2 linked regions of the Diceros bicornis minor genome follow. The protein of the gene in region 1 binds, or shares a complex with, the protein of each later gene. Links are inferred from orthologs where the notes say so. Each region holds a gene or a part of one and is shown in the gene's direction. Other genes may lie near its edges.

Region 1 (8,239 bases):
CCCTGCCAGTGGTGGATGAGAAAGGTGAGAGATTGGGCAGAAGGAGAGGGAGGGCTCCAGGGAAGCCAGGGTGGCTCTGGGAAAATCGCTTAGCACAGCCCGGAGTGTGATTCTATGGGCAGAGGGAGCCTTGGATGCCAGATCCTCCTTGCTGAGCTGCCTCTGTCCCCCTAGGGCGTGTGGTGGACATCTACTCCAAGTTTGATGTTATCGTGAGTGATTGTGGAGGGGCTGGGAGGTAGGGAAACGGGCGGGGTGTTGAATGTGGAAAGGGAGAAGAAGAGAGTCTCTTCTGGGACCTATGGGTTTTAGAAGCCTCCAAGCTTTCAAATCCTATTTGAAAAGGAATTGAATGAGCTGGGTGGAGCTTGTGGGCATGGCTGACAACTGCCCTAAATCCCGCTGGTGAGGTTGGAGGGGTGCTCAGGGTTTGGGGGCTGGCTTCTTTGCTTCCCTGCAAGCACCTTCCTCTCTCTCTCCAGAATCTGGCAGCAGAAAAGACCTACAACAACCTAGATGTGTCTGTGACCAAAGCCCTGCAACATCGATCGCATTACTTTGAGGGTGTCCTCAAGTGCTACCTGCATGAGACTCTGGAGACCATAATCAACAGGCTGGTGGAAGCAGAGGTAGGGGGCCAGTGACCCAAGAGGAGCTGGGGGGAGCAGCCTTGAGAGTGGGGTTCGGCAAGGAGGGTAGGGGCGAAAAGGCTCACCCTAACTGAGGCTGGCACTAAACATCCCTTTCTCCCTTGTTGCTCTATGCCAGGTTCACCGACTTGTAGTGGTGGATGAGAATGATGTGGTCAAGGGAATTGTATCACTGTCTGACATCCTGCAGGCCCTGGTGCTCACAGGCGGAGAGAAGCCCTGAGCTGGGGCAAGGGGTCAGGCATCACCAGGGGCTGTGCCCCACTCACTGCCCGCCCGAGGCTCTGGGAGCCACAGATGAAACCTTGAGAGAATTGTGACTCTGTTCCCTGCTCTGCAGCCCCCTACCCTTCCACCTGGGAGCTGGGGAAGGTGTTGGGGGAGGAAGGAGAATGGATTTTTAGCTGTCCTTGTCCTCACACATACACTTGAGGAAAACTTTCAGCCTAGCCCATCCTAGCGTCTGTCCTCTTAGACATAGCCCCCTTTCTGGGTGAACTATGGGCTCTGTGCTCCTCAGGCAAATTCTGATCTCTAAGAGATCCCCAGACCTCACCCAGCCTTTGCCTGTATCTCTGCCCCTGACTCCACCCTAGATAATAGGACAACAAAACTCGAGATATTTTTATTCATCCTGTTTCATGCTGTATGAGGGGGCTGAGTCCATTTAGTGACATTTCTTCCCATAATGGGAGTGGGGAGGAGGGCCTTTGGGTCCCTGTGCTGTGTGCATATGAAGGGAGAAGGGGGTTAGGTGGAGGAGGAGGGCAGAGTGGTTAGCTGAGGTTATTGCTTCTCATGGCAAACCTAATTAAAATGACGGGAACCTCGTCATGGTATTGCAGTCTTTGATTTTTAGTTGATAGACACTACTGCTCCAGCCGTCCTAGTTCGTACAGCTTTTTCAACTCATCATTAATAACAATAATAATAGCTCACGGGGCCGGCCCGGTGGCGCAAGCGGTTAAGTGCGCGCGCTCCGCTGCGGCGGCCCGGGGTTCGCTGGTTCGGATCCCGGGCGCGCACCGACGCACTGCTTGGTAAGCCATGCTGTGGCGGCGTCCCATATAAAGTGGAGGAAGATGGGCACTGATGTTAGCCCAGGGCCGTCTTCCTCAGCGGAAAAAAAAAAAAAAAAAAAAAAAGAGGAAGATTGGCGGATGTTAGCTCAGGGCTGATCTCCTCACAAAAAAAAAAAATAATAGCTCACACACACATATATACAGCTGTGTGCCAGGCATGATTCTCAGTGCTTTACATATATTAATTCACTTAATCCTCAAAACAATAGTAGATACTATTCCAGTTTTGCAGATTTAAAAAAAGCTGAGGCTTAGAGAAGCTAAATAACTAGTCCGAGGCCACACGGCTAGTAAAAAGTAGAGCGAGGATTTGAACCCAAACAGTCTGGCTCCAGAGCTCATCTCTTTACCATTCACTAGACTTACCGTCTTTCTAATTCTCCGTTCATAACTGTTCCCCACCCAATTCCCTGCAATCCTCCTTATTACCTCACTTTCCCCTCTGCCTGGACCATAGCTGGGACCCAAGAAAAATCCAGTAATAGTGTTAGGTCTCCAGAAAGTAGACAGACTGAGGGTCTCCTTTAGGCAGGGAGACCTGCCACTACCATCAACTTTTCTTAGGAAAGGTTGGACTCTGGAGTTTGCTCAGCTGACACTGTCTTTGAGTCTACAAATCCTTTGCCTTTCTTCCAAGCTGAGAATGCGCTGGGAGGTGGGGAGCAGCAGGACCGTGGTCACCCCATCAGACCCTTTCCCTGTGCTGAAACCAAAACAGTAGTCGGCACCACAGACCATAAGGACTGCTAGTCGATGGGTATGAGCCAAATTCTGGGCACTGTCTCACCACTGCCTGGCGGGTATGATACCATTTCCTGTCCAGGACCTGAAGCACTTGCAGAGTAACTCCTTGCCCCTCCCTGTACTGCCCCTAAGAACTCTAATGAAACCAGCCATACTGTACTTGTTCCTCCAAACCAGGCTTCCTACTGGAACGGGGAAAGGTATCAAGGCACTCATCAGAGCTCAGCTCTCAGTGCTGCCTCATGGCCTTGGAGAAGCCCCTGCTCATGCAGTCACCTCTTTTCCAGCTCTCACAGCACATTCCCAGACTTGAGGGAGGGAGGCTTCCAAGTTATTAGAATGAGGGTATGTTTATGTGTGTGTGGGTGGGTGCATGGTGGAAGGGACAGATGTCTCCTTATGTCACATTCCATCATGAAGAGGGTTTGTCTAGGGAGGAGGCAAAGGCTTTAAAAAGCCTTAGGACTCTGGTGTGACCTGGGTGGAAGGAAGCACCTTCAAGCAAAGAGCCGTCAGTGCAGCTGGTAGGTGTATGGATTCAAGGGGGGTCAAGTGGATGGGATAGGGGACGTTTGGGTTCTCTCGAATGGCCCATGTTAGGGAGCAGGAGGCCTGGGTTTTGTTGTGGTTCTCAGTAAGTCAGTCTTTGCCCCACAACAACCCTCCTGGCCCCATCCCCTTAAAAGGAAATGTCTGTACCCAAAGGGCTGCATGTACTTTAGTGAGAAACAAATTAAGATCTCTTGCTTTTCCCATTTCTCCCTAAAACCCAACCAATCAGTCTCAGAGTCTGAGGATGGAGCAGAAGACAAGGGACAAAATTTGGGAGGCTTCTAGTCTTACTTATTCCTCTCAGGAGAGGCAAATTATCCCTTCTTCCTCAGAAACTATCACCATACACACTCCTTCCCCCACCTCCCCTCACTCCTCCCCTCCACTGGAGCTGCTGCCATGGTTGCCAGGCATGGTTGCTAAGTCTGCATGGAAGGGTTGGCGTGGGCTGTGCTGCCACTAACATTACCATGGTGAATCATGGGACACCTGGTATAGGCTTGGGGGGAGGGATCATGTGGATGTAAGCAACAACCCCCCAGGACAGAATGAGCCTAGAAGGTGAGCATCTCGAGCACCACTTCAGGTGGGGGCTGAGTGAGCCAAGCATTGTGATAGTGGGGACAGGTAGCTCTGCACTGGGAAATGGGGGCCACTTTTATCATTTCAGTTGCTAGGGGATTGGTTTTGCCAAGGGAGCACACCATTCCTTCTCCATCCCCTCTGAAAGGGTGCAAGTGCATAGCAGAGCTGTGTGGGCATAAAACAATATGACCCCAAAATCCTGGCTTCTGGATTGTTGGGGGGAGAGGGCTCCATGGGTGGTCAAGGACAAACATCTTAGAATGCAAGTGTGGGGCGGCTTTGATGGCCAAGACAGGATCCTGTGTCCCGCTGTACCAGCAGCCCTGGACTGCAACACTGAGAGGATAAGAAGTTGAGGGTGTAGGGGTCACCGTTGTTGAGGTTGAGGGAGGCAGCTCTCCCCCAGAGTCACACAAAAGCTGCGTGAAAGCCACCGCCTCCTCCCTCCACCGCATTCAAGCTGGTTACTCATCTCTCTGCACCCGAATGCCACTGCCGCTAAAAATAGCCCCCCACCCTGGGCCAGCCCCTCCTGCACCCCAACCCCATGGAAACCAGCAGACAGTGGCAGGCAGAGACCTTGAGTTCCATTCTCATCACCTCCCTGTCGGGGAAACTGAAGTCCGGGGCAGGAAGTCAGAGGCAGAACGCTGGTGGTCAGTCACCCTGACAGGCAAGAGAGTGAAGGGTTAAAACGGCAGGAAGGTTGAAGAAATTAGGATGGGGACCGGGGCACTATCAGCTTGGCAGGAATAAGAAGTCCCCTGCCCACTCGTGCAGGTCCCATCAGGCTTGGGGTACAAGAGCAGTGGGAAGGGGCCCCCAATCCCAGGCCCCAGGGGGCGGCCGTGCACACGGGGGAGGTAGCAGCGCCGAGCCGTCTGCGCCGTGTCACATGCGCGCGCGCGCACACACACAGACAGGCACACACGTGTGCCTGGGTATATATAGTCCCCAGTCACTGGGCCCGCCGCTCTGCAGTGGGCGCCAGCTCCCTGGGCTGGGAGGGGGCTTTCGGGGCGGGTGGGAGGGTGGGGGGCCGGGGTGGGGTGGGGCAGGATGCTGGATGGCCAGCTATTCTGCGAGGGGCCCGACAGCCCCGGGGAGCTCCAGGATGAAGAATCTGGCAGCTGCCTCTGGGTGCAGAAATCCAAGCTGCTGGTGATCCAAGTGAAGACTATTTCCTGTCATTATAGTCGCCGTGCCCCTCCTCGACAGCCCATGGACTACCAGGCCAGCTACTGGGCTCGAGGGCCCCAGAGCCGCACGTGAGTGAAGGACGGGTGAGGGGAATAGAGTGGTGGGGCGGGGAGTGGGGTCCAGACCTCCCCGCAGGCACCAGCCAGCGCTGCTGGTCCCCCTTCTCTTTCCCACGCTTCCCCCTCAATCCCGAGGGCTGGGGCCTGATTCACCCCGCGTTGTTTTGGGGGGACAGGAGTGGGCGTGAAAAAGGGCAGGAGGTGAGATGGGGCAGACGCTGTTAAAGTGTGCATGGAGAGATGGTGAGGAGTCCCGCTTCGACTTCAGCCCTAACATATACGCACGTGCACACGCGCACACACTCACACACACCCCTCCACACGGCTGCCCCAAATGGTCTCCAATGCTCCCAGCTCCCCGGACCTCGGCTCCCTTCCCCCACAAACTGCTCACCTGGGTTCCTGCTCATTGTCCCAGGTGTGGGCCGCGCCCGGGATCCCCTGAGCCGCTGCCCCGCCGGCCCTGGGCCTCCAGGGTGCTGCAGGAGGCGACCAACTGGCGGGCGGGGCCCCCGGCCGAGGTCCGAGCCCGGGAGCAAGAGAAAAGGAAAGCAGCATCGCAGGAGCGGGAGGCCAAGGAGACCGAGCGAAAAAGGCGCAAGGCTGGTGGGGCCCGAAGGAGCCCCCTGGGTCGGCCCCGCCCGGAACCTCGGAACGCCCCTCGGGTGGCCCAGCCTGCAGGGCTCCCAGCTCCCTCCCGGCCGGAGCGCCTGGGGCTGGTGGGGCGACCGCCCCGTCCATTCGCGCAGCCGCAGAGCGACCCAGGGGCGGCGTGGGCGAGGCCCTGGGGAGGTCGGCGGCCAGGCCCCCCCAGCTACGAGGCTCACCTGCTGCTGAGAGGCGCTGCCGGGGCAGCCCCGAGACGCCGCTGGGACCGGCCGCCACCCTACGTGGCTCCACCTTCTTACGAAGGCCCCCACAGGACCTTGGGGACCAAGCGAGGCTCCGAGCCCTCCCAGGTCCCCGCCTCGTCAGCCCCTGCTCCCACTCCAGCCAGGACAGAGGGAGGGTGCGCAAAGAAGAAGCTGGATCCTCGGATCTACCGGGACGTCCTTGGGGCTTGGGGTCTCCGACAGGGGCGAGGTCTTTTGGGAGGCTCCCCAGGCTGTGGAACAGCCAGGCCAAGGCTGGAGTCCGGCAAGGGGGCCGCGGAGAAAAGCCTGGGGCTGGCTGCTGCTGGCCTGAACAGTGGTAGCGACGGCCGTGCCCAAGCCAAAGCTGTTGGGAGCCCAGGCACGGAGACAGCTCCCGCGGGGCCTGCAGCTGCGACTCCCAGCCCCCCGCGTCCCGCTCCCAGGTCCAGGCCCCAGCTCAAGGGCTCCGGGGAAGGGAAAGAAGGTAGAGAACAGAGCTGGCTCCCCAAATGCTGGATTCCCTCCCTTAAAAAGCAGGCTCTCCGACATAGCCAGACCCTCCCCAGGCCCTGGGCTCCAGGAGGCACGGGATGGAGAGAGTCCCTGGGTCATAGAGAAGGGGCAGGACCCAAGACCTTGGAGGGTTGGAAAGTGACCCGCCGCGCCCACACCCTGCCCCGCAGTTCCCGAGGCCCCGCTCCTGGAGAAGGTGTCTTTGTCATTGACGCCACGTGCGTGGTGATACGGTCCCAGTATGTTCCGACCCCTCGTACTCAGCATGTGCAGCTTTTGTCCTCTGCGGTGCCGCGCGTTGTGGAGGATGCCCCCAGCCAACTGAAGCCCAAAAAGGAGGAGGGCGAGGCAACCGCGGGCTTTCCCTCCCCTCGCCAAAAGCTGCTGTTGAGCAGCCAACGCCTTTCACACCAGCCTGGTGGGGGGCGCGAGTTCGAAGCTGAGGGCGGGAAGCCTGCGGACTCCTCATTGGAAGAGCGCGCCTCCCGCATCTTGGGGCTCCCGGTGGACGAAGTAAACCTGCAGGACGCCCCCATGCAGCCAGGTAGCCCAGAGCACTCAGCCTTAGGCCCAGCAGCTTCGGGAGGCGCGGGCGGTGCCGAGGGCTCGCAGGAAGTGGCGGCGGTCCCGCTGCGCGCGGGCCGGGGCTGGGCGCGGACCCCGGGGCCCTACGCCGGGGCCCTGCGGGAAGCCGTGTCCCGCATCCGCCGCCACACCGCCCCGGACTCGGACTCGGACGAAGCTGCGGAGCTCAGCGTCCATAGCGGCTCTTCTGATGGAAGCGACACAGAAGCCTCGGGCGCCGCCTGGCGGAATGAGCAGACCTGGCCCCGGGAAGGTGGGAAGACAGAGCTGAGCGACAGTATCCGAGAGATTCTAGACGTCATCAGCCAAACCGGGGAGGCCCTCTTCGGGGCTAGGGACCCTAAAGGGACCCCGCAGGGAAATAGGGAGCGGCAGTGAGAGGCTTTTTCTTGTATTTGTGTTGCCCAACCCCTCCATCCTCGGGCCCACCGGTCCCCTTTCTTCTTCACAGACTTCCTTGTACCCCTTACTCATATCCGTTCCCATACTCGAAATAGAAGCCGCACAAACGAAAGGAAAGGGAGCATATGCCGATTCATGATTTTTTTTTTTTTCAGGAGAAGTGGGTGAGCAATAGACCTTAAGGCCTGCTCTGTTCCGGGCACTGGAGTAAGGTCTTCAGCAGAAGCTGATGCACCAGGTGTGCAGTTGAGCAGAGAGGCGTGGCCAGCATCAGGCAGGAGGGCAGGGATGCTATAGTCATAGGAGGGCAAGTTGAGGGCAGGGCCTCTGGGCAGGAGGGAGAAAGTGATGGAGAGGCTTTGGACTGAGGTAACCAGGTGACAGAGAAGCCCTTGGCAGAAGAGGAAAGCAGAAGCAACCAGAAAAGGAGGAAGAGGGCTCACTTTGGTGTCACAAGTGTTGGGCTCCAATCCCAACTCGAACACTGACTTGCTGGGTGACCTTAGGCAAGTCACTTCCCCTCTCCAGGACTCTTAGGATGTAAAATGAGGGAGTTCTAAGGTCCATCCCTGACGTTTTGGAGCCTTTGGAGAGGCTTTTTATTTCATCTTCCCTTCCACAAGCCGAGAAAGAGTTAGGAATAAGTGAACAGAGTCTGAGGGTTCCTGGTGGCTTCATTGTCACCTGCACTCATTCTCAATTCAAGACTGTCCAGGATTTGCACAAGAGCTGAGTGAGTGGACAAGGGCTCCTATCAGGTTTAGATGAGCGCTCCCCAAGGCAGGGCAGGATGGTGGCCTTGTCACTGTCCCTGGCCTGTAGCGGTCCGAGCTGGGGAGGGAAGGCAGCCAATGAATCAGCTTGGGACCTCTTTAGGCCTTCCCCTTTTTCTCCTCCTCAATGTTCCTTAGTGATGCTCTGAATCGTTACCACGATCTCCCACCCAGGTGGTATCACCCATCTGAAAGAACTCTGAGAATTTCTTGCATCTCTGCCTCTTCCAGAAACCGGCC
Region 2 (8,580 bases), on another chromosome or scaffold:
AAGCTTCCACCCTTTTTTGTTTGTTCGTGTACAATTTGCAAAACTATTCTGAAAGCGGAATATATTTGCACAAGTCTGCAAAGAGTGCAAATTTAGGATATTGTAAATGCTTTACCAGTTACTTTCAAAAAACTCTCTGCCACAACTGGGTCTTACCTTGCCATCTTTTTTGATCAATATATTTTGATGCCAGCCTTCCTTTCACTGCCCTAAACTATAAAGCATTTTTTAATGAGTTGAAATTAAGGAAGGACTACACCTACTAGAAAAGAAGAGAAGAAAGTTCTATTAGTTTGAGGTTTCAGAATCACTCCAAACCAGGACCGGTATCTTGGTAAGGGCTAGGCTGGGACCCCAGACAGAATATGAGTATGTGCAGGTGGCATCCCTGAGGATTCAGAGCTTCAGTGGACTGTGAGTGCTCCAGCTGCATAACTCACTGAACTGTCTTGCCAGTTTCTACACTGGCTTGACTGGGCATAATTCAAAAAGGAAAAGCTCATATTCATTCCATTCTTCTGGAGCTCTGTGATAGCATTTAATAACACCCCAATGGGATGTCTTCCACATAGAGTATTATGATACTTCTTCAAGTAATTGCTAAAAAATACAGGGTCTAATTGTTCTATAATACTCATACCCATTTTATCTAGATGTTCAATGGATCTATAAATCTCCCCCTGGGATTCATCATAGTAACTGTAACGGAACCTTTGACCCCAATGGCAGAAATCAGAAGAAACCACAAAGAGATTACTAGGATCCGCTAGATATTTACTGAAGAGTTTTCCGAATTCCTGTTCTTTTGACTCACTCAGAGCTCCAACCAGTACAGGAATAATGGTAAACTCATCTTTATGGCTTTCCATGGCTTTAGCTGTATAAGGCAAATGCATTTCAATACTGTGTTCATCTTCATCTGTCTGCAGAGACATGCGTTCAAACATTCCTGTCTTCCATAGTTCTCCGTAAATCCTTTGGTCAATACGAAGGTCATACAAAAGTGTCCTATATATATCCACACTGGAAAGTGCACATCGAGAGAGGGGCACATGATGAGAAGGCCCAAGGATGAAAATTCTCCGGGTAATAGATGGATCCACTTGTTTGTAAGCACGAGCAGCACAAGACCCACAGTAGGTATATCCTGCATGGGGTGCAACAATGGCTCGAGCAGGTCTTTTTGTAGACTGTACTTGTGAAAGCCAACCTTCTAGCTGTGCATTCAGCTGCGGTCCTGAGGCTGTGTACCAGCTCCCAGCGTGACTGGCTTCCTGGCAGACCACTCGGTTGGACATCTTGGTGCCTGTGCCGCCTATGGTGCGCGAGGATGAATGAGGAGGCGGCGGTGGCAGCTGCAGGAGCGGCTCCGCGAGGGGATGAGACACCGCGGGCCCAGGAGGAGGCGGCAGCGGGGAGGGGATCAGCCAGGCCCAGGAGGAGGAGATGGTAGTCGGGGCGGTGGCGGCGGCAGCAACAATCACCACAAACTACTGCGACCGCCGGAAGATGGGGCCCGCGGGCGGCTTCGCTGAAGCCCGGAAAGCCCTGGCCCCGGATCTCCGGCGTCGCCGCTGCTCCCCAGCCCGGACTGGTTCCGCCAGCCGCCCCCACGGCCCCCTCCCCGCCCCGTCCACCTCCCTGAGCCACCGCCGGTGACCCCACCCCCGTGACTCCACGCCCACCCCCTCGGGACTCCTGGACTTTCATTTTTGGGGAGGTTTTTGATTACTGTTTCGATCTCCTTACTGGTGATTGGTCTATTCAATTCTCTGCTTCTTCTTGATCCAGTTTTGGAAGGTTGTATGATTCTAAGAATTTATCCATTTCTTCCAGATTGTAGAATTGGTTGGCATATAGCTTTTCATAGTATTCTCTTATAATCTTTTGTATTTCTGAGGTGTCTGTTGTAATTTCTCCTCTTTCTTTTCTGATTTTACTTAGTTGTGCCTTCTGTCTTTTTTTCTTGGTGAGTCTAGCTAAACGTTTGTCAATTTCATTAATCTTTTCAAAGAACCAGCTCTTGGTTTTATTAATTTTTTCTGTTTTTTTTTGGTCTCTATTTCATTTATTTCTGCTCTGATTTTTATTATTTCCCTTCTTCTACTGATTTTGGGCTTGGTTTGTTCTTCTTTTTCCAGTTCCTTTAGGTGCATTGTTAGATTGTTTATTTGAGATTTTTCTTGTTTGTTGAGATAGGCCTGTATTCCTATAAACTTCCCTCTTAGAACCGCTTTTGCTGTATCCCATAAATTCTGGCATGTCGTATTTTCATTTTCATTTGTCTCCAGGTATTTTTTGATTTCTTCTTTGATATCTTCCTTGACCCAGTCATTGTTCAGTAGCATTTTGTTTAATCTCCACGTATTTGTGGCTTTTCTGATTTTCTTCCTATAGTTGATTTCTAGTTTCATACCGTTGTGGTCAGAAAAGATGCTTGGTATTATTTCAGTCTTCTTAAATTTATGGAGACTTGTTTTGTGGCCTAATATGTGATCAATCCTGGAGAATGTTCCATGTGCATTTGAAAAGAACGTGTATTCTTCAGTTTTTGGATGGAATGCTCTGTAGATATCTACTAGGTCCATCTGTTCTAGTGTGTCGTTTAAGGCCAATGTTTCCTTATTGATCTTCTGTTTGGATGATCTATCCGTTGGTGTAAGTGGAGTGTTAAAGTCCCCTACTATTATTGTGTTAGTCTATTTCCGTTTTTGTGTCTGTTAATAATTGCTTTATATATTTAGGTGCACCTACATTGGGTGTGTAGATATTTGCAAGCGTTATGTCCTCTTGTTGGATTGTTCCCTTGATCATTATGTAATGCCCTTCTTTGTCTCTTTTTACAGTTTTTGTTTTAAAGTCTATTTTGTCTGATATGAGTACTGCTACCCCAGCTTTCTTTTCATTGCTATTTGCATGGAGTATCTTTTTCCATCTCTTCACTTTCAGTTTGTGAGTGTCTTTAGGTCTGAAGTGTATCTCTTGTATGCAGCATATATATGGGTCTTGTTTTTTTATCCCATCAGCAACCCAATGCCTTTTAATTGGGGCATTTAGTCCATTGACGTTTAAAGTAGCTATTGATAAGTATGTACTTACTGCCATTTTTTAACTTTTTTTTTTTTCTCTCAGTGTTTTAGTAGTCCTTCTCTATTCCTTTCTTCTTCTATACAGAATTGATGGTCACTTTAGTTTGACCTCTGTCTGAAAGCTGTACTCTGTAACTCCCCTCCTCCCTCCTTTTATGTTTTTGATATCGTATGTAACCTCTTTTTTGTGCATTTGTATCCATTACGTTCTTATCATGGAAATAGATAATTTTTCCTATTTGTGGTCTTCTCTTTTCCCCTTAAATCAGTCCCTTTAACATTTCTTGTAGCACTGGTTTCTTGTTGACAAGCTCCTTTAATTTTTGCTTGTCTTGGAAATTTTTGATCTCTCCTTCCATTTTGAATGATAACCTTGCTGGGTAGAGTATTCTTGGCTGTAAGTTTTTTCCTTTTAATACTTTAAATATATCGTGCCACTCTCTTCTAGCCAGTAAGGTTTCTGCTGAGAAGTCAGCTGATAGCCTTATGGGGTTTCCTTTGTATGTAACTTGACTTTCTCTGGCAGCTTTTAGGATTCTCTCTTTATCTTTAATTCTGGACATTTTGATTATGATGTGTCTTGGTGTGGGCCTCTTTGGATTTATCTTGTTTGGGCCTCTCTGTGCTTCCTGTACCTGGATGTCGGTTTCCTTCCTAAGGTTAGGGAAGTTTTCATCTATTATTTCTTGAAATAGATTCTCTGCCCCCTTGTCTCGCTCTTCTCCTGCCAGGACACCTATAACACGGATGTTAGTGCACTTGATGTTGTCCCAGCGGTCCCTTAGACTGTCCGCACTCTTTTTAACTCTTTTCTTTTTTACCTGTTCAGCTTGGGTAATTTCTTCTAGTCTTTCGTCCAGCTCACAGATCCATTCTTCTGTATCCTCTACTCTGCTTTTGAGTCCCTCTAATGAATTTTTCATTTCCAGTATTGTATTCTTCATTTCTGATTGGTTCTTTTTTATATCTTCCATTTTTTTGTTGACATTCTCACTGAGTTCATCTATTCTTCTCCCCACATCAGTGAGCATCCTTAACACTCTTTGTTTGAACTCTCTGTCGGGTAGGTTGCTCATTTCTGTTTCACTTAGTTCCTTTTCTGGGGTTTTGTCCTGTTCCCTTACTTGGAATGTATTCTTTTGCCTCCTCATTTTGCCTCTTTCCCTGTGCTTGTGTCTACGTATTAGGTAGGCCAGCTACGTCTCCTGCTCTTGGATAGGTGACCTTATGTAAGTGATGCCTTAGGAGGCCTCCAGTGTCCTTCCCTCAGTTCTCAATGTTCCAGCGTTGATCCCTATGTGGGCTACATTTGGCCTTCTGTTGTGGCCTGTTTGCTCTCCCTGTAGGTGCCCAGGGAGGCCGAGTTAATGCTCCTGGCCAGCTGTTGTAATGCTCAGCTGCTTGTAGTTGTTGTGGGCCCTTCAGTGTCTTTACCAGGTGTGGGGAGCCCAAGCACAGTTGGCTGCAAGTTCTAATACCACATTTGTGTTGCAGTATTTCTTTTAAGTGAGTAGGCCCCCAGCGTGGCAGGTTGTTAGGCTCAGGGCCTTACAATTGCTGTAAGCCTCTAGCCTATTAGGTCTCTTGTCAGCTCTCTGAGGATTGCAGCTGGGTGGGGCTGGCCTCAGGCACAGGAGCACCCAATTGTTTCAGGCTTTGGAAGGTGGGGCAAACCCCCTATGTGGGTCTTTGAGCAGCACAAGTCTTCTGCAGCTGACAAGCCCTGCTGCCCACAGGTCCATACACACAGTCAACACATTCCTGCCCCGTGTGCGCGCCCCGACCTCCCCAAGCGGACCCAGTCTCTCCACGGCGGGAGCCCCACACACTCCGCCACCGCCCCACACTCTCCACCCGCTCCTTGTGCATGCCCTGCCCCGCTAAAGTCAGCTCAGTTGCCAGGCTGCAGAGAATCCAGTCACCAATCTATGCAGGCCCACAAGTTGCTTGAGGGCTTGTTGTTGGGTGGGGCCAGTCTGTAGGGTGGCTGCCCACCCTGGCTGAGCTGGATTAAATCGGTGGTCTAGCGGGTGGGGCAGACCCTGAGCTAGCAGGCCCCAGGGAGAACTCCAATGGCGTCTGTGTCAGCACGCCCACACTAGGGCACAACAATGGCTGCCGCCAATGTCCCAATCCCTGGAGAGGTCTCACCCCTCACCGAGATGCACTCAGGGCCTCTCAGGTGAGTCTCGTTTCACCGCAGCACTGTGCACCTTTCTTTCTGGTGATTTTAGGATGCTTTCTGAAACGGGTGACTTTGCGCGTGGGCCCTTTAAGAGCCAGTTTTAGTTTCTTTGTGAACCGGCTTTTCTGGGGGTACTCCCCAATGTTTTAGTAGCAGGCAAGTCAGATATTAAGCCACTCATCTCGATTGTGCTGGGTCCACGAAATCTCCACAGCGGGGGCGCTCCCCGACTCGGGGCCCCGCTCCTCCAGGGAGGGTGCGTACCTGTGAAGCTGGCGGCTTGTGAAGACGGCGTTTTTTCTCTCCAGAAGGGAGTTTCTGCCTCTTCTACCTCAGTTAGGATTGTCCGTTGTTGCAGGAGTTCCTCTTATCCAGTTTTCAGTTCTGTCTCAGGGGTAATTTTCCCACGAGTAGTTGTAAATTGGCTGTGTCCGCCGGAGGAGGTGAGTTCAGAGGCTGCCTACACCGCCATCTTGACTTCCTTCCATATGTTAAAATGGCATTTTATCTCAGTGGGAGAAGCATGAGGCCTTAAAATATTTTGTTGGAACAAATGAATAATCCTTTTTTTTAATGTTTAATTTTATTTATTTTTTCTTTTTTTGGGTAACATTGGTTTATAACATTATATAAATTTCAGGTGTACATCATTATATTTCATTTCTGTGTAGCTATGTCATGTTCACCACCCAAAGACTAATTACCATCCATCACCATACACCTGTGCCCTTTTGCCCTCCCCCCCCTTCCCCTTCCCCTCTGGTAACCACCAATCTAATCTTTGTATCTATGTGTTTGTTTGTTGTTGTTGTTATTGCTGTTTTTATCTTCTATTTATGAGTGAAATCATAAGGTATTTGACTTTCTCCGTCTGACTTATTTCACTTAGCATAATATTCTCAAGGTCCATCCATGTTGTCACAAATGGCAACTTGAAAAATTAAGACTACAGCTACCATATGATCCAGCTGTTCCACTTCTGGGTATTTATCCAAAGAACATGAAAACACTAATTTGAAAAGGTATTTGCACCCCTATATGTTCATTGAGTAACCATTTTTTAAAAATGAAATTAAAGTAGATCCCTATCTACTTTCTTACTCCACACCAAAATAAATTTTTGATGAATTAAAGATTTTACTGGAAAAAAATTAAAAAACACGAAGAACTAGAAAAAAAATACCTATGACTATAATATTGCAGTGGAAATGCCTCTCTTAAATTAACATAAACAGTCCAAAGGAAACTAGCTACCGATTTGACTACACAGAAGAGTAAACTTACAAATAACATGGTAGACAAAATTTAAAGTGAAACCATAATCAGGAGAAAATATTTAAGTGTATTTTTAATAGATAAGGCACTATTATGAATCAATATTAATTTTTAAAAAGCAGAACATGAACAAAGAGGTAAACAAGTTAAAAAAATACAAATGACTAATAAACATATATTTGCTTAACTGAACTCACAATAAATAATAATTGAATGAAAACAATGACATAACATTTTTGCACATTACATTGGCCAAAACATATGTTATCTCTAGTTTTGTCTGCTTCTCGTCTGTCTGTCTGTCTGTCTGTCACAGACATCTCAGTATTGTGACAGTGAAGTAGAACAGAAACTCTCTTACACTCTTGGCCTAAGTTTCATTAGTTTGCAGTATCTCTATAGGGCAGTTTGCTTATCCTTATCAAAAGACTTAGGATTTTGCCTTATCTTTGACCACACAATCCTACTTCTATGATTTATCCTAAGATAATTATCATAGAGGAGCATATATAAACCTAAAAAGAGTTTTTTTAATTAGTAGCAACTTTAATTTGTAACAAATGCGTTCAATAAATTGTGGTACAAACATACAATGGAATAATACACAACCGTTCAAAATGATGTTTCAAAGAAGGATCTATTACAAAAGAGAAAGAAGCAGTTTATAAAACCGCATATACAGTATAATATTCATGTAAAAAATGTTTACACATGTATGTGAAAGAGAAAAGTCTGGATGGACGTGTGCACAATTATTTATAGTGGTTAATTCATGATCTTTCTTTTTAAATTTTTTCTTAACCATATTTTCTAAATTTTCTAATTTTGGTATGTATTGTTTTTTGAAAGGGGATTTAAAAAGTTATTGAAAACATTGAATTTCAGTGGAATTTGATATTATTTTCTCTAAAGATAAATATATATCACTATTGGTGAGTCAAAGATCTCTAAGAATGCCCTTTGGCAGTTTTTTTTCATTTTCTCATTTTTTATCCTAGAACTTTATATCATACTCAATTTTTCTATTTTTTTGGATAACATATAAAAGCATTTTATTTTGCTCTCATCCTAAAATTGAACTTAATATACTATCTGACACCTAGATTTTTAAAACCATTTTTCACAAAATGGCACTAGTTTTACCTTTTAAACAGCAGAAATTGCTAAAGGGAAAACTTGCATTTAAATGTATTTACTGTTCAAATTTTTATTTGTCTAACTGTTCTCCCTTCACAGACGTATCTGGCATGCTGATATTTCCTCCAAAGAGTCAGAGAACGGAACTTTTTAAATATGCTCTCTTAAATTCTTTACTGAAATGGGAAAATAAACAAATGATTATTTAGAAGCCAGCAGCTTTAGACAGCACTTGCTTTTTCCATAACATTGCACAAACTGTGAAGGGAAATTAATTCTTCCTGCCCTCTCCCATCTCCTGGGCACATCCCAAGTTTATGTGTCCATTTACTCCATGGTCTCAAACACAGATCAGGCTCTGGCTTTCAGACAGGTGTGTGAGAAACCTTGATTATGGCATATGTCAAATATACTGGCTCAAGCCATCTTGGCAGCATTTGGAACAATATAAAAAAATTAGTTTTAGAAATTTAAGGAGGAATGAAAATTAACATTACAGTCCCAAAGTAGGACCTATTTAAGTAGCTTAACCAGTTCCTCAGCATTCTGAAGTTTTCTTCTCATCCTGCCCCACTGCCAAAGTGAGCTTTTATTACTTTTTACCTCAGCACTAACAACAGCAAAAATAATAAGAGCTAACGTTAATGTGGCTAATTATGGGTGATGTAAATGTGTTAAGTTCTTTATGCCTGGTGCCAGTTAGGATTAGTTTAGACTACGAGTAAAAGGAAAGGTACAATAACAGTAACCTAAATACAATTCTCTCCTGTTGGAGAAGCATTTCAGGGCTGGTAGGGTCACCACCAAGTTGTCAGGGACACTGGCTCCTTTTCCTATGCTGCTCCCTCATCTTCAGCATAGTTCTTCCAGCTCGTGGTCCAAGGAAGCTGCTTA

Evidence for each region.
Region 2: the proteins of DDN (region 1) and MAGI2 are in contact, whole or in part, in a crystal structure (PDB 6KKG), measured with the Mus musculus proteins. The link is inferred for Diceros bicornis minor from reciprocal best matches to the Homo sapiens genes DDN and MAGI2. Residues at the interface, in NP_001013763.1 of Mus musculus: Asp222, Arg223, Pro224, Pro225, Pro226, Tyr227, Val228, Ala229, Pro230, Pro231, Ser232, Tyr233, His237, Arg238, Thr239, Leu240, Gly241; in NP_001164217.1 of Mus musculus: Glu308, Met309, Ala310, Tyr311, Thr312, Glu313, Gly315, Tyr318, Ile320, Asp321, His322, Lys325, Thr326, Thr327, Ser328, Trp329, Asp358, Tyr361, Tyr364, Val366, Asp367, His368, Arg371, Arg372, Thr373, Gln374, Phe375.

Annotation. Positions count from the first base shown.
Region 1 is NC_080756.1:20,644,464-20,652,702, forward strand, and holds the start of DDN (dendrin), read left to right. Parts: upstream 1-4,672; coding exon 4,673-4,881; intron 4,882-5,290; coding exon 5,291-7,202; 3' UTR 7,203-8,239. Other genes in the region: PRKAG1 (5'-AMP-activated protein kinase subunit gamma-1), read left to right, coding at 1-24, 175-212, 483-629, 769-873. UniProt on the Homo sapiens protein: Promotes apoptosis of kidney glomerular podocytes. Podocytes are highly specialized cells essential to the ultrafiltration of blood, resulting in the extraction of urine and the retention of protein.
Region 2 is NC_080742.1:16,781,794-16,790,373, reverse strand, and holds the start of MAGI2 (membrane-associated guanylate kinase, WW and PDZ domain-containing protein 2), read left to right. Parts: upstream 1-5,181; 5' UTR 5,182-5,213; coding exon 5,214-5,271; intron 5,272-8,580. Other genes in the region: protein MEMO1-like, read right to left, coding at 405-1,298. UniProt on the Homo sapiens protein: Seems to act as a scaffold molecule at synaptic junctions by assembling neurotransmitter receptors and cell adhesion proteins. Plays a role in nerve growth factor (NGF)-induced recruitment of RAPGEF2 to late endosomes and neurite outgrowth.